Arabidopsis thaliana: one gene and its partner. The protein of the gene in region 1 binds, or shares a complex with, the protein of each later gene. Each region holds a gene or a part of one and is shown in the gene's direction. Other genes may lie near its edges.

What was found.
Region 2: the proteins of NdhN (region 1) and ndhK are in contact, whole or in part, in a cryo-EM structure (PDB 7WFG), measured with the Arabidopsis thaliana proteins. Residues at the interface, in NP_200634.1 of Arabidopsis thaliana: Pro80 (codon at 2,567), His81 (codon at 2,570), Gly83 (codon at 2,576), Gly84 (codon at 2,579), Tyr85 (codon at 2,582), Glu86 (codon at 2,585), Gly87 (codon at 2,588), Arg88 (codon at 2,591), Leu90 (codon at 2,597), Asn91 (codon at 2,600), Arg92 (codon at 2,603), Leu126 (codon at 2,787), Lys128 (codon at 2,793), Tyr142 (codon at 2,835), Ala146 (codon at 2,847), Pro148 (codon at 2,853), Pro149 (codon at 2,856); in NP_051063.1 of Arabidopsis thaliana: Ser3 (codon at 1,893), Ile4 (codon at 1,896), Lys5 (codon at 1,899), Phe6 (codon at 1,902), Pro7 (codon at 1,905), Thr20 (codon at 1,944), Asp24 (codon at 1,956), Trp28 (codon at 1,968), Thr117 (codon at 2,235), Asp118 (codon at 2,238), Thr151 (codon at 2,337), Arg154 (codon at 2,346), Lys155 (codon at 2,349), Ala158 (codon at 2,358), Arg159 (codon at 2,361).

The regions. Positions count from the first base shown.
Region 1 is NC_003076.8:23,559,361-23,564,258, reverse strand, and holds NdhN (oxidoreductases, acting on NADH or NADPH, quinone or similar compound as acceptor), read left to right. Parts: upstream 1-2,257; 5' UTR 2,258-2,329; coding exon 2,330-2,698; intron 2,699-2,780; coding exon 2,781-2,897; coding exon of another isoform or gene 2,898-2,903; exon of another isoform or gene 2,904-2,962; coding exon 2,963-3,048; intron 3,049-3,126; coding exon 3,127-3,184; 3' UTR 3,185-3,691; downstream 3,692-4,898. Other genes in the region: ABCB25 (ABC transporter of the mitochondrion 3), read right to left, coding at 191-251, 318-401, 726-833, 980-1,082, 1,180-1,223, 1,304-1,365, 1,443-2,091; EMB3143 (YCF54), read right to left, coding at 3,887-4,079, 4,180-4,412, 4,492-4,701. UniProt on the Arabidopsis thaliana protein: NDH shuttles electrons from NAD(P)H:plastoquinone, via FMN and iron-sulfur (Fe-S) centers, to quinones in the photosynthetic chain and possibly in a chloroplast respiratory chain.
Region 2 is NC_000932.1:48,106-51,820, reverse strand, and holds ndhK (NADH dehydrogenase subunit K), read left to right. Parts: upstream 1-1,886; coding exon 1,887-2,564; downstream 2,565-3,715. Other genes in the region: ndhC (NADH dehydrogenase subunit 3), read left to right, coding at 1,458-1,820; ndhJ (NADH dehydrogenase subunit J), read left to right, coding at 2,668-3,144. UniProt on the Arabidopsis thaliana protein: NDH shuttles electrons from NAD(P)H:plastoquinone, via FMN and iron-sulfur (Fe-S) centers, to quinones in the photosynthetic chain and possibly in a chloroplast respiratory chain.

The DNA.
Region 1 (4,898 bases):
GTTTTCTTCCTAGAAAAAGAACGTGTAAATAAAGATGTAAAAAGAGTCATCAGCGCATTTTCTGATCTACATTTGTTACTTGTTGGCTTGTTGCTACTATTCTTGCTCAAACTAAAACTGGAGAATTTTCTCTTTTTTTTTGGAAATTAAGATAAATGTTTTCATCTAAACAGCTAGTAGAGTTACTTACTTTTCAGGAACTGGTCATACTTTTCAGCCTCATAACCTTCATTGTTAAAATATTTGACAGTCTGAAACGAAAAAGAAATTCTGTCAAAACTGCAAGTCAAGCAAAATGATTAAGATTAAAAATTTACCTCATAATTTATCAGAGAATCAATGGCCCTTGTGCTAGCATCATTATCAGCTTTGTTCATAGCCTTTCTAAACTTGGTTCGCCACTGGATAAAATAAATAAAACCGTGAGCAAAGCGTTTGACACCAAAAAGATTTGTAACAAGATAATGAAAGTTGAAGAGAATGTATGAAGACAACTATCCTTCTATACATCATCAAACCTAATATCACAACTAGAATGATTTAAGCCGATCCAAAGAGTTGATACAGTTAAGATTAGAGAAGCTTAGTAACGAATTCCAGAACAATGTATACTATAGTAGTTTCTTAAATAAAATATCACAGTTATTGCTGGATTATCATGATAATAACGCAAGTATTGCATTATAGTTGGCATTGAAAAGAGAATACCGAAAAAGGCACAGTACCTGTGTCACAGCTAATGTGAAAACGATATATGATCCAACGGAGAGAGAAGTAATCCAGGCAAAAGCAGCTCCAAACTTGTATGCCAGTATACCTGATACCATAGATATCTGAAAGATACATATTAATTACGTCGAGTGTTTTTAGAGACGAATGAATAGTGAAATCCAAATATGAATGAGCAACTGCCAATTATTCAAAATGAGAAAAAAAACAATGATCATGAGAAAGCACCAAGTGGTCAGACAAGCTTTACCTCCAATATGGTAGGAACAACATTGAAAACCATAGCTGAGAGGATAAAATTTATTGCACGGCTACCACGATCAATAATCCTGTTCAAGCCGCCTGTTTCTCGACTGGACATAAGCAATTAAGTAAGGAAGTTATGATGAGATGAATCTAAGATGGAATGAGCGAGACTACTCACAAGAGTAAGAGAGGAGAGATAGATACCTTAGGTGGTAACGAAGGTCAAGATCATGTAAATGTGAGAACACCTGCAAAGCGACCATATGAAATTGATTCATACATTAAAATATCTCTATCGACAAGATAGTTTAGAGCAGCAGCAGCATACCTTTCTAGAAACAGATCGTATTGTTCGGAGAGCTACCTTAGAGAACACAGCAGTACGAAGTTCTGCGATGATGAAAAGTAACAACCAAGAGTGAAAAGTGCATTCTTTTTTAAAGAAAACTAGAGCTATTGAGAGTTACCATTAAAAGCAGAAGAACCCGTCCGAGCAATCCCGTATCCAATGAGAACAGCAGCAGGAGTAGCAAAAACAGTAAGAAGAGTTGGGTTTGTAGCAGCGAAGGTGGTAAGTGAGGCTCCAGTACCGGTAGCTGAAGCAAGCCAATCAACAGCTAATTTGAAGAGGAAAGGGACTTGGACATTCAAGACCTTAGCACCCACGAGAAAACCCAAAGCAGCGATGACCCTGAAACGGAATTCTGGATTGTCTCTCATCCACAAATAGCCAGCAAGCGTACGGAGAATCTTCATGTCAGCCATAGCTGAGTCTGAATCCGACGAGGTTGTCTTGATTTCCTTAGTCTTGGTGGTGGTTTGGTCTGGATTGGGAGTAGAAGTCGAGAAGAGACGACCATTAAGCATTGAACTCCGTTGAACAAAACGAATTGGGGATGGTGATGGTGACGGGGATGGTGAGTTATCTGAGAGGAAGGCATTGATAACCGGAGATGTTCGAATTGAGTTACGTCTGATGTAATTGGAGAAACCATTATGAAGACGATAATCAGAGCGAAGACTGTAGGAAAAAGATGGGATTTTGGGTTGAGGTTGAAGATTAACGCGACAGAGTAAGAGCCCAGGAGCCCTAACGAATCGAGATCCTCTCGACATCCCTTCTTCTCCGAAAGTTTCACAGACTGAATTTTGCTCCGGCGAGCTAGCTAACAATGTCACGACGTTCGGCGGTGCTTAATGGGCCTAATAAATAAAGCCCAATACATTTTAAGCCCATTAATGTCTATCCCTTTGTGGAGTGAGTCGTCGTTTCTCCACCATTCTTTCATCATCATCGTCGTCAAGCAATGTTTATTATGAGCTACTTCCACAAGAAGTCATTGTTAGTAAAGAAATGGGAAGCCGTGCAATATGTATACAACGTGTGGCACCACCGTGTTTTGAAGCCTCGCAAGTGAAGAAGATCAAAACAGTTGGTTCCTTTTTGGTGAATACTAGGAGTAAGAGAAGAAGAAGCACTGGTGTGAAATGTAGCAGCATAGCTGACTACATCGGAGGTGACTTGGTGAAGCCGGACATCGGACAATGGCTTCAAGACGTGGAAGAACACAAGGCAATCGCCATTTACGCTCCTCATGAGGGTGGTTACGAAGGTCGTTATCTTAACCGTCTCAAAATGCAGGGCTACTACTTTCTTGACATCTCTGCTCGTGGCCTTGGTGACCCTGAGACTACCCTTCTCAAGAACTACCCTGTTTGCCCTGTATGTCTACTTTCATCCATCTTCTACTTTAATCTTGTTTCAATATAATTTTGTGTGAACCATGTATCTTCTCTTCTTTTAGGCTCATCTTGGGAAACAACCTATAGCAAGATGGTATTATCCACCAGAAGTTGATTACAGGCTCGCTGCTCTTCCCCCTAGTGCCAAGGGTCTTGTTGTATGGGTCCTCGAAGCAAAGGTTTGAGTTTCTCTCATTTGATCTGTTCTCCCACATGCTCTTTCTCATATTTCCATTTCACTCAGGTCCTCTCAAAATCGGAGCTTCAATTTCTCGCTTTACTTCCCTCTCTTCGTCCTAACGTCAGGGTTATTGCTGAATGTGGCAACTGGTGAGTATATCATTCCTTACCATACACACTAATCATCTATGTTTGCAATTTGCATGACCATTACCAATTCCCCTGCAGGAGAAAGTTCGTGTGGAAGCCTCTAGCAGAAATTGCAAATCTAGCTGCACAAGAGTAACTTAATGGCACAAGTGGAGCTACCAGTGTATAGTTTTTCATGAATGCATCTCCCGCAAGTGTAGCAATACTCATCCCATAGTAAAAGTTAAAATCTGTATTTGTAACTTGGTAGTATATTCCCATGGAGTAGTTAAAGATAATTTCTGACTCTGCTTTGTCACAAATAAAAGTATGTATAATCAGTAAGATTGATAGGACACGCTTAGATACAGACTACAGAGCAATCCAGAAGTACAACATAGAACACTTGATTCAGCAGAAACATGTGCAACTTACTTTGATCAACTCCAGTCACTAGACCTAACGAGTAACAACATGTTCCGAGTCCACAAATCGTTTTGAAAACCAAAAAATTCAGATCTTTTGCAAAGTTCTTCAGCGAGTAGGCATATTGCCCTCCTGTGACTAGACAACTTAATACCTAGAGCTTTAACTGAAGGTTCTTGCCAATATTCTCGTGAGAAATCAACAAATATGGTCACCCTTAAGACTTTGATGGAGCTAAATGTGAGGATGCTTTTTGTTGTCTAGTTCTATGCTTAACCTTGAGTCAGTGACGTATCAAACAGGCAACTTTGAGTAATAGAAGCTACACTAGGAAAGATATAGACTTGGATAATGAGCTCAGTAGTACAAAACTTTGAAGCACTAAGACAAAGCTGAGATTGGAGAATGCAAAAACAAGACAAAAAGCAAAGTTCTATACTGCAGATTCTTGGGTTACTTTAGGCAAGAAGGTATCCCACCATCCAGGTTCATACTTGGGGTATGGCGCCACCCAATTTTTAGGCTTATCGAACTCAAGAGTGGTAGGATTGGAGGCCAAAGCTTCATCAAGAGAGGTAGCTTCAAAGGAATCATACAGAACACGATCCAATCTTAACTTCATAAACCTGCCATAAAACAACAAATTGCAAAACACAAATGCGTTAGATAAGGAGGGAGTGAGGAACGTAATTTTGAAAAGAGAGAGATTGGGATTAGGGTTCTAACGTGATCCAGGTGCCATTGGTGGAAACAAGAGCAACAGCAGGACGACGAAGTCTTTGAGTAATTTTGGGGAAATTGTCAAGGAATTTAGGCTCAATGACAAGCCAGAAGTCTTGCACTAATTCACGCTCACCGAAGTAACGGAGACGTTCAAACAATTGCTCCTGGAAGTGCTCCTCTTCGTCAAGCATGAATTTAGCGTTTGCTACCAGGAAATGGTACTTGGTGCTCTCTCCCTGCAATCATCCAGAAAACGTAAGCTGTTTGGTTTGATTGGTCAAGAGGAAAAGAGAGAGAGAGAAAGAAAAGAGAAACCTTGTTAACAGAAGACTGTTGCTCGATGGAGGTAGCTGCGGTTTTGAAAGAGGAGGAGAAATGTGATGATGGTAGAGACAGAGAAGGCGAAGAGAGATGGAGTTTCTTTGTCTGCTTGGGAAAGGAAGAGGAGATGAGAAAGGGTTTCGTACGGCAAGCGGCGGCGGTAGGCGGCACCGCCACAGTCAATGCTCCGGTGACGCTCCACATTTGCTGCTGATTAGAGTCTGTTGATCGAGGCAGAATCTGTAAAAATCTTATCTTTTTTGCCGGGGGTCATCCATTATTATCATCACTCTCTCTCTCCCTTTCTCAACTCAATTTTTAATTGATTTTAATGTTATTTGGGCTTCAGTAATGGCCCAATAAGGTGTTATGGGTTTCTTCAAGCCCGTAAGAAAGAAAAG
Region 2 (3,715 bases), on another chromosome or scaffold:
TTTTCAGAGGAGTCCATCACGCAATCAAACTAATTGATTGATCTTATTAAGAAATCGATGTCTTACTCCATGACTTTTTTTTAGGAAAAAAGAGGAGAACAACAGCCTGACATTAGGTCCTATTAAAGTACCCCGTTAGGTAGGGAATGAATAGAACCCATCATTGATTTGAGATATTGATAGGGTGAATACCCAGTCTACTCAATGCTAGGTAGAATGAGTATAAGGAACTCAAAAATGATCTTTTCGTCCTATGAACCTTAAGGTGTATCAAGTTTCATGTTTGATTTTTTAATCAGGATGTTAGAGACTATATTTAACTTAAGTTGATCTAGACCAAAAGCAAACCTACGTCAAGAGAACCCTTCTTTGAAACACTTTGGTAGTTCTTCTGTATTGTATTAGAATTCAAAAATAATCAATCAGAGTACTTGGAACCATTTCTTATCTTTTTTTTAAGAAAAAATATGGTAGACTAACTGATCTTTCGATCAGTTAATGAAAGAGCCCAATGCAAAAAAAAATGCATGTTGGGTCTTTGAAAGAGTTCGAATCATTTTGATAATAATAAGTTCGAACTCTTTTACCGAGCAGGTCTACGGTTCGAGTCCGTATAGCCCTAACTAAGAAATTTATTCTAAAAAATCACATTAAAATCAAAATAATTGGATAAATTTTTTTACTTTTTTTTGTATTCTTTATTTCTAACAGGTTACTTTTAATTGCTCGGTTCATAAAAAAAATTTCCATATCATAAACCATAAGTCCTGGGGATCGTTCAGAATAAAACGGAAAATTTCATTTTATTTCAATGGAGCCAATCACTATCTATCGATATATCGAGATAGATACTTAATTTATAATTTAGAATAAACCTTTTTCTTCATTAATTTTCATAGTTGTAATTTTTTTATATGAATTTTCCTCGTTCACTAGCTACAATCAAAAAGTTCATAATACTTTCTTTTTTTTTTTGTATCCCCACTCAATCTTGGTTACTTTTTTTATCACACGGCCTTGTTTAAAAATAAAAAAAGAAATCTAATTAAATTCAACCAAAATTCAATCTATCTAATACTAAGTAAGATGAGTATGGTAAAGTCTTACTGGATTTTTTGATACGTCATCATTTAAAAAACGAAGAGATTTTTCGAAAAATTTTTTTAAACATAAACAGAAATAAAAAAAATTACTAGTTATTAATCAGATTAATATTATATTATTATATTAGAAACTATTAGTAATAGAAACATGGAACTATTAAGTAATAAGTGTACTGAAAATAAGAAATCAATAAATCTTAAAACGAGACGTCTACCACAACAACCAAACGAAAAAAAATGATTCGATTAACCTGAATTTTTGTTTTGACTCAAGAGTTCTATATCCCTTGCCCAATCCACTCCGATTGGAATTGACTAAGCGGGTATTTTTTCCACATTCATAGGAGTTCGTCTATGTTTCTGCTTTACGAATATGATATTTTCTGGGCATTTTTACTAATATCAAGTGCTATTCCTGTTTTGGCATTTCTAATTTCCGGAGTTTTATCTCCAATTAGGAAGGGGCCGGAGAAACTTTCTAGTTATGAATCAGGTATAGAACCGATCGGGGATGCTTGGTTACAATTTAGAATCCGTTATTATATGTTTGCTCTAGTTTTTGTTGTTTTTGATGTTGAAACTGTTTTTCTGTATCCGTGGGCAATGAGTTTCGATGTACTGGGGGTATCTGCTTTTATAGAAGCTTTCATTTTCGTGCTTATCCTAATTCTTGGTTTAGTTTATGCATGGCGAAAAGGAGCATTGGAATGGTCTTAGTTCGTTTACCGAATACTTGATACAATAATAAAAAAAAAAAAAGTAAAAAAAACCATTGAAACAATTATGAATTCCATTAAGTTTCCCATACTTGATCGAACAACAAAAAATTCCGTTATTTCAACTACGTTAAATGATCTTTCAAATTGGTCAAGACTTTCCAGCCTATGGCCGCTTCTTTATGGTACCAGTTGTTGTTTCATTGAATTTGCCTCATTAATAGGCTCCCGATTTGACTTTGATCGTTATGGGTTAGTACCAAGATCGAGTCCTAGACAGGCGGACCTTATTTTAACAGCAGGTACAGTAACAATGAAAATGGCTCCTTCTTTAGTGCGATTATATGAACAAATGCCTGAACCGAAGTATGTTATTGCTATGGGAGCCTGTACAATTACAGGGGGGATGTTCAGTACCGATTCTTATAGTACTGTTCGAGGAGTTGATAAGCTAATTCCTGTAGATGTCTATTTGCCGGGTTGTCCACCTAAACCAGAGGCTGTTATAGACGCTATAACAAAGCTTCGTAAGAAAATAGCTAGAGAAATCTATAAGGATCGAATTAGACCTCAACAGGGTAATCGGTGTTTTACTACCAATCACAAGTTTTTTGTTGTACGCAGTCCGCATATTGGAAATTATGATCAAGAACTACTCTATCCACCATCATCTACTTCAGAGATCTCTACTGAAACATTTTTTAAATACAAAAGTCCAGTATCGTCCCACGAATTAGTGAATTAGGGAGGCTTTTAGAGAATCAGAAAAAAATCTTCATAAATTAGAATTAACGGTAAATGTGAAATACTTAATTTTATATAAAAAAGGTGTGGGGGAAATAAAAAAGATGCAGGGCACTTTGTCCGTTTGGCTAGCCAAACGCGGGCTGGTTCATAGATCGTTGGGCTTCGATTATCAAGGAATAGAGACTTTACAAATAAAGCCCGAAGATTGGCATTCTATTGCTGTAATTTTATATGTATATGGTTACAATTATTTACGTTCGCAATGTGCCTATGATGTGGCACCAGGTGGCCTCTTAGCCAGCGTGTATCATCTTACGAGAATAGAATATGGTGTTAATCAAGCGGAAGAAGTCTGCATAAAAGTATTTACTCACAGGAGTAATCCTAGAATTCCATCCGTTTTCTGGGTTTGGAAAAGTACGGATTTTCAAGAACGGGAATCTTATGATATGTTAGGAATCACTTATGATAGCCATCCACGACTGAAACGGATCCTAATGCCCGAGAGTTGGATAGGGTGGCCTTTACGTAAGGATTATATTGCCCCCAATTTTTATGAAATACAAGATGCTTATTGAATGATAAAAAATGAGCCAATAGGATGAACTAAAAAAAAAGAGTTCTGCATTATGAACTTTGTATCGCGCACATAACTTAGTCAACTTTAGTCACATAACTGGGAATGAATAAATAAGATCGGAAAGCAATAAATGAAGGGGGGGATACAATTCTATTTCTATTGTATCTAATGAACCTTGGGGTATTTTTGCCCTTCAACTATAGTATACTATACATATAGACCTTTTTTTACTTGTTTGATTCAACGGAACTCATTTAACCTTTCCTTTCGGATATGTATTATGTATCAAGTATTATACATTCTTTTTGAACGGCTGGATTCACAACATGAACAAAAAAAAGAGAGGGGATAAAGCATAATTGCACTTTTTTTACTAAAGATACGTTTAATTTGAAGAATAAAAACTTATCAAAATTAATAAATCCTCTGCCAAGAACCAGATTTGAACTGGTGACACGAGGATTTTCAGTCCTCTGCTCTACCAACTGAGCTATCCCGGCGAAGGATCATCCTCGTTTTACGAATGGTGGCACAACGATTTCAAGTCCCCCGGAAAAAAGCTATGTCCA